Linked DNA regions of Schizosaccharomyces pombe. Changing the gene in region 2 together with the main gene of any one other region gives a genetic interaction. Each region holds a gene or a part of one and is shown on either strand. Other genes may lie near its edges.

Evidence for each region. Genes that interact genetically often act in the same process or in processes that back each other up.
Region 1: mutations in mmd1 (region 2) and hst2 impair growth when combined (synthetic growth defect), as found in Schizosaccharomyces pombe (one large-scale study listed by BioGRID).

Annotation. Positions count from the first base shown.
Region 1 is NC_003421.2:1,327,321-1,331,290, reverse strand, and holds hst2 (histone deacetylase, Sirtuin family, NAD-dependent Hst2), read right to left. Parts: upstream 2,340-3,970; 5' UTR 2,194-2,339; coding exon 2,115-2,193; exon of another isoform or gene 2,113-2,114; intron 2,058-2,112; coding exon 1,681-2,057; exon of another isoform or gene 1,614-1,680; coding exon 1,071-1,613; 3' UTR 501-1,070; downstream 1-500. Other genes in the region: ribosome quality control complex subunit Rqc2, read left to right, coding at 2,984-3,115, 3,161-3,970. UniProt on the Schizosaccharomyces pombe protein: NAD-dependent histone deacetylase, which could function in telomeric silencing, cell cycle progression and chromosome stability.
Region 2 is NC_003424.3:4,633,860-4,637,667, reverse strand, and holds mmd1 (deoxyhypusine hydroxylase), read right to left. Parts: upstream 2,194-3,808; 5' UTR 1,922-2,193; coding exon 965-1,921; 3' UTR 770-964; downstream 1-769. Other genes in the region: SPOM_SPAC30C2.03 (uncharacterized protein), read right to left, coding at 1-398; dynein heavy chain, minus-end directed microtubule motor Dhc1, read left to right, coding at 2,912-3,808. UniProt on the Schizosaccharomyces pombe protein: Catalyzes the hydroxylation of the N(6)-(4-aminobutyl)-L-lysine intermediate to form hypusine, an essential post-translational modification only found in mature eIF-5A factor.

The DNA.
Region 1 (3,970 bases), on a different chromosome or scaffold from region 2:
AAAAACGTTAATTATAAATCATATATCTGGCTTTCGAACAATTATTTATTTGCTAAGCATTCATATAGATCAAATTCATGAATCTTGTATAGCTAGGTAGAAGGAAGCGTTAGAATCGGTAAATTCTTAGCAAACCGAACAGGAGGTGACAGCCATGTAGTCAGTAATTCGTACAACTCATAAGTTACCCAAAGGTACATAGATATATGCAGATAAAATAGATATAAATTTAATAATTGTTCTAAAATTAACTGATAATTGTTCAAGCGCTTAGATACTTGTTTTCTGTAATATGAATTATGTCTTTACATCTCTAGTTCATTTTATGAACAATAATGACCACAAGAACAAAATTCAAATCAGAACTGGTTATGATGATGGACTAACTGGTTTATACACCGTCCCCTGTTACAATATACAATTCGTAGAAAACGCTTTAGTTTTTCAAAGGAAGCATTATTCTTGAATGAAACTACAAAAAGAACAATTTGATTAATTATTCCTATTTCCAATTCTTGGATAATTCAAAGTTTTATTAAATGAAAATGAATAATCTCCCATTTCAGAACTATATGTTCCAAACTGAACAGAAAAAAGGTTTCGACAAAGATTGTATTAGATTACAGTGCAGTAAATTTGAAACCATTATCAATTATTCTAGCGCAACTTTCTCATAACCCAAATTGCGTATATAGATGGACGCCAATTTTAAAAAAAATGCAAGTTATTTTCACGAAAATGCGAGGGCATCTTCATGAGTTTGATCGAGATCGTATACAGAACCCCCTTTTTGTTATCCTTTTCGCATTAGTTTAACCCAGCATACAACTCATAAAGAGAGCAATATGATTCATGGTTAAGAGGCAATCAAAAGGACGCCTGGAAGGAAATATTATAAAATTGCTGAAATAAAAAAAAGTATTTAAACTTGTTTAAAAGAAAACGAATCGTATGTGTAGATTCAAATATTCATCAAACCGAATCGTGAATTTCCGTTTTCTTAGTATAATAAATATAGGGATCTCCTAGTTTTAATCATGACAATATAGAAAATTTCCCGAATAACTGAACTATTCATCATCAGAAACTAACAGCGTCACCTCGTCTTTTTTCTTCTCCTCTATTTTAGTGAAAGGATTGACCGAGTTATCGTCTTTCTTTTGTTCAGAGGCATTCTTTTCTATTGTAGAGTCAACAGAAAGTAAAGATATTTCTTCTGTCAGCGTTTCAACACTCGTATCAATCAACTTTTCCAATTCATCAGACCATCCTAATAGTTTACATAACGCACGTACTTGGGAATCACAATCCCCCAATATCATGATATCCTTTTTTCTCTCCCCAAAGTCGCCAGCTGGTTCTCGATTAATCAAAACTCGTTGACATTTATTTGGCACTATTTCAGGCAAATCCGCGAATGGATGAACAAGTAAACTTGTTCCAATTACCAGTGCCATATCACAGACTTTTGTGTCCTTTTCCATGTGCTCGAAGAAACGCATTGGTAATCCCTCGCCATAAAACACAATCATTGGTTTGATGAGACCTTTGCAACTGTTGCATTTAGGGACCTGTTTTTGCATAATACATGCTCTAACATACTCCGTTTCCGCCTTTGTTTTCCGTCAGTAAAACCAATTTCTGCTTTTTCACTTTAACTTTTTCAAAAACAATCCTTACCATTTCGTAACATTCAATACAGCGGCTGTATTGGAAAGAGCCATGTGCTTCAATCAGAGCTTTGTCAGGCACACCTGCCAAACGCTCCAAGGTATCAATATTTTGGGTATAACATTTTTGTAGTAACCTTTTATCATGTAAAAGGCGTATAAAATAATGAGTATAAGTTGGTCTATACTTTTCAGGCATCAATTCGTGAGCCAATTCGTAGAATGGACGCGGATTTTTTCGAAAATAAGATAGATCAAAAACAGCTTCTGCGTAAGGAAGATTAAATCTTTGTAAATTATTGTAAATTCCAGTCTCAGGGCTTCGAAAATCAGGGATTCCTGCTGCAGTGCTGATCCCTGCACCAACCATAACACATATTTTCTTTACTATTTTCGATAAAATCGCATTAGTATGGTCAAGGAAAGAAAATTAAAAGTCATTACCTTTTCCTTCTTTGATTAAGGATGCAACTTTCTCTAAATGCTTGGAAGAGTCGACGTGTTTAACAGTGTTTTTCACCATTGTCGAATTTCTGAGAACAACCAAAGCAAGCCAATAATCGATTTACCTTAAAAATCCCAACTCAAACTCTTTCAAAAATTGGATCACTTAAAATTCTCAGATATGAACAAATCAATATGTTAATGCACAAAGTTTGTGGGTACGCCAAATTTCCATTATTATTTACTCGTTGAAAATATCAAACGCCATTACCGATGCTCCATTAAACTGCATTATACTGTTTAAAAGGCTATTGTATTCGACTTTAGTACTCGTTATTTGGTAAACATTTAGAGCCATCTTTTTCAATTAAGAGTTTCTGGATGTCGTTGAAAAAATGAGATACGGGGTAATCAGAAATTATGATTAATCAACTTTCGGCTCACTTGATTAGATTCAGCAACGATAACTCTTGACTTTCTGGTTTTACTTATTGGGTTGGTCACACCAGTTTGACATATTAGGTGTCAAAGTTTTTTATAAGTTTATCATTAGTTAACTATTTTTTATCTTTATAATCAGTGTCATGTACGACTATAAATGTACGATTAAAGAATCATCGTCGGGAAAGAAATAATGAATTTGAGAGAACAATCCAAATTTGCGCTAAGAATTTTAATGCTGCTAATGTACACCGTTTTATGGTGCAATGGTGTGCTATAATTTTCCTTATTACATATTGCGGATATCATTGCGCTTTGTTAGTGCTTCAGTTTCACTTACGTTATACACATGTTTACATTCTAACTAGAGCCTATACTTCATTTTGTTGTAACGCAGAAATTCATTTAGATAGGTGTTATAGACGTAAATGAAGCAAAGATTTTCCGCTTTAGATATTGCTGCGATTGCTGCGGAATTACGAGAACAAGTGGTTGGGTGTCGCTTGAATAACTTTTATGATCTAAATGCGCGTACCTTCTTGTTGAAGTTTGGTAAACAAGTATGTGTAGAAAGTAATAAATATTTTTTTACTAACCCGTTAAAGGATGCAAAATATTCTATTGTTATTGAAAGTGGGTTTCGTGCTCATTTAACAAAATTTGATCGAGAAAATGCCCCTTTGTCTGGGTTTGTAACGAAGCTACGAAAACATATAAAATCTAGAAGGTTAACTGGTGTCTCTCAGTTGGGTACTGATCGAGTACTCGTTTTCACATTTGGAGGTGGTGCGAATGATCAAGACCCCGATTGGACGTACTATCTGGTTTGTGAATTTTTCGCTGCTGGAAATGTTTTACTATTAGACGGCCATTACAAGATTCTGTCTCTTTTACGAGTGGTCACCTTCGATAAAGACCAAGTTTATGCCGTAGGGCAAAAGTACAATTTAGACAAAAATAATCTCGTTAATGACAATAAATCTCAGTCTACTATTCCTCATATGACAGCTGAACGATTAAATATCCTTTTGGATGAAATAAGCACTGCTTATGCTTCTCCTACTTCTATTAACGAACCTTTACCTGACCAACAACTATCCTCTTCTACAAAGCCGATTAAAGTACCCAAACCAGTTTCTCTTAGAAAAGCATTGACTATAAGATTAGGTGAATATGGTAATGCACTTATAGAGCACTGTCTTCGGCGTTCAAAATTAGATCCACTATTCCCTGCTTGCCAGCTCTGTGCAGACGAAACCAAGAAAAACGATTTATTAGCTGCTTTTCAAGAAGCCGACTCCATATTAGCTGCAGTTAATAAGCCCCCAGTAAAGGGTTATATATTTTCACTGGAGCAAGCACTAACAAATGCTGCTGATCCTCAACACCCTGAAGAATGTACTACATTATACGAA
Region 2 (3,808 bases):
TTTTCGTTAACATACAGAGCCTTAATAATATCTATAAAGGTTTCTCTAATACGAGTAGTGTTATGATGGCGTACAACTGCACTTTTATGAACAGATTTTTTTCCAGACCTTATAGCCAGTCGGATTGGCGTTTGAGAATAATCTAACTTAGGAAAGCGGTATGACCTGTTGTTTAAAAATTCATGAAAAGGAATTAACCAAGCTCTTGGTATACAGTACAAAGTCATATATTTAGTTCTGGCCAATTTTTGAGTAGCCCTGATAATTTGCATTTCTTCTTGGCTTATTTTTTCCTTGGACAAATATCCCAAACTAATAGAGTGAGAAGATTTGGGTCTGAGATGTGGTTGTATATATTGAACAAGATACTCAAAGTTTCTTTTCAAATTAGAGGTCATTCTTTTAGCGTTTAACAATTTCGTACTATTAAATTTGCACTCTCTTTTGGATGATCATTTTTAATCCTGTGTGAATTTATTCAATCTATTATACAAACCAAAAAATTTGGTTGTTATCAATATGGGCGGTGTGAGTAAAAGAACACTATTTCAATGTTCTCTGGGCGTTTGCAAAGAAATGCAGTAAGCGTTGGATATTTGAAGGAACTGATATATTTTGAAACAGTAGTTGGTCACTTCACACTACACAATTGTACATACTAGTAAATTCTAGGACCTCAATGGTAATTGGGTGGGTTTAATGCTTTACCACAAAATTTAAAACTTGAGTGTTACGACGTATTGAAAGAAATAAAATAAAAAGAAAAAACTTATGCAATAAAGTAACCAATAAATTCCAATAAACTACTAACCAATTTTTATTAATGAATTTCAGAAATTTTCAGTAATGTACATTTTCAATAACTGTTATCCAAAAATACCCAGAATTTAAAATCCTAATCTACAATGAAAACCCAAAGAATCTGGCTAAGCTAAAGTAGCGAACCCAACCATACGAATCCACATTATGCACTAACTTTGGGAATATAGGCATATTCCATATCACCAGATTTCTCATATTCGATCATATCAAGAGCAACGATGCAGGATTCTGCAACAACACGTACATCATCTTTCGAAAACTTCTTTAAAACAGGAAGGCATTCATCGTTAGCAATACCACCTAATGCTTCTGCTGCTTCATGGCGAACCATGGGAACTTCTTCAGTATTTTCCAACACTTTAATCAGAGCAGGAACAGAAGCAGGAGCAATCATTTGACCGAAAACGAAAGCAATTTCATGACGGAACAAAGGGGAAGGATCCTTAAAACCGTCTGTTAAAGCCAACACCGCTTCTTCGTTACCAATGTTACGCAAACGAAACATCACACGATAACGGTAAAATAAGGGCAAATTTTGGTCGACAATTTCAGAACGAAGTTTAGCTACCTCAGATTTCACATCTTGTTCGTGATCGGGCATGGGAGGAGCGGGATCGACAACTGAATCATACATACTGGGAGTAATCTTCTCATTATTCTTATCGAGGCCGTTCTTCCATTGAATGCGGGCAATAGCCAGTTCACAAGTTTCGCGAATAGGAGCTAAAGGATCTTCCTTATAGTATTTTTCCAAAACAGGAAGGCTTTCAGTAAATCCCAAGGCTCCCAAGGCTTCAGCTGCTTCGTGACGTACCATGACTTGTTGGTCAAGATCGTTCACAATATTAATCAAAGGCTGAACAGCATATTGTTGTCCTGATTGCCCCATAACATAAGCCATTTCATGTTTCAGTAATTCGGAATCATCAATAAAGGCTTTGTAAATCGCATCAACGGCACGCTTGTCCCCCTTCTTTGCCAACGCATTCAGACTAAAAAGGGCACGATAGCGAAAGGAAAGAGGATTTGATTTATCTAAATTGACAAGCACGCGCTCTAATTCATCAATAACTGCTTGGGGAACGGGTTCTGAAGACATGTTTAACTGACAAGAAATTTCTCTTGAAAAAATATCAAATTCGACAAGAGAAATGATATTAATTAGCGCTGTGTTTTGTTTTAAATCAGTTAAGTAAGGGAATAATAGTAATGCGTATTACTTTCTTCCTAGAAGTAGCGATGTATCAAAAGCGGTATATTTCTTAAAGCGCTCAATTTTCTTTTTTTCCCTCTATCTATTTATTTAGAGGACTCACTTCTTTCCTATTGTTTCACACTAACTTCTGTCAATATAAGTTGGATGGTGTTGATTAACTTTTCAAGCGATGCAACGTCGCTAATATATCTACAAACATTGACCACATTATTTAGCAAGCGTTGAAAATTTTCACATAAATGGTACGATTTTTCTTAACAGACAAATTTTACGCTGATATCAACTGTGAAATTTGCTTACAATTTTTGTAAATCTTCTTTTGATTCGGAACATCATTTTTAATCACATACCTAAATTCTAAAAAGTTGCCGAGGTAAATTAATGATACTAAAATTTAATCAATGCCATAATATTTTAGGCACGATTATAAATAATTAACTGTTCGCAGTTGATATAAGAAGATGATTATCAACATGTCTTTAACGTTTGGAATTTCCCGTAGTAAAATTCTTTTCAATTAATTTACTTGATTTTGGTGAGATTGAAATGAATTCTTTTATACAGGTTGGTGCGATTTTAGCATTAAAATAATATTTTTTTTAGAAAGAGACTTGCCTTTGCAAAAGTTTCCACCGTAGTATTTTAATGTCAAACGAAACCGAATCATCGAGGCGACTTTGAAACCCTATTGTCTGATGATGCTCCTTAAAAGCTTTCTTTGTTTTTATACAGCAAATTTTCTTTGTTTACGATTATTAGATTTCTTTGTTCCGCGTTACCGATTTCAATAATCAAACAATATGAAACACTACCACCTAGATTTTTAAAGAACCTTTGGTACTCTAAAAAAGCCGGTCAAGTTTTCTTGACACCATGGATAAAAACGATAATTCACAATGTCAATTATCTACGGTGTCCGATGAAATTCTGATTTTCTTGAAGAAACTCCTTTCTCTTTCTGTTTCTGATAATTTGGATGATATATGCGAAACAATTGCACTACAGTCTACTTTCGTGGACACTTTTCGCAGCTTCATTAATGATGAATATTATACAGTTATTTATTTATATGGTAGTCCTTGTTTGACGAGTTCTCCCACTTCTCCTGACTCTTGCACTTTCGGAAATATGACTTTTCAATGGACTAGTTTGTTGCAAGATGTGTTTTCCGGCACCTCAGCATTTGCTATTTTTAAAAGATTCCCACTAACTGATACACCTTTAACATTGCAAAATATGCTTTATATAAATCAGTTACCTATATTAAAAGGAGGCCATAAATCTAATGAAATACCAGAGCGTCCTATAAATGCTATCTTTTTATACACAAAATATGTGATGAGTTGTTATTTTACTGCTTATTTGGCTATGGAATCTGTGGACGATCGTTCAACGATTGATTTAAATTCACCATCAAAAGGAAAAGAATTGGAACTTACATGCCAGAAGTTTGCTGATTTTGAACGTTCGTTTACCTTCTTTTGCCGTGAATATCAAAATTCTGATACAATCCTTCAACATCATCCATTAATACTTTCGACAATCAAGCATGCAGAAGAGAACAATCTAGATCTATCGGTTCGATTATTACCGTCAAAAGTTCTTTCTGACTCTGAGTTTTATAAATCTCTTAGTAATTTGGTTAATGTCTGGTTGAAAACAACTCGCAGTTTGATTAAATTGTTTCATGATCAAATTTCAAAAACGGCTTTAGAGGAGTTTAACTTTTGGCAATTTTACTATCGCTCTTTAAGCCGTTTAAATGACCAA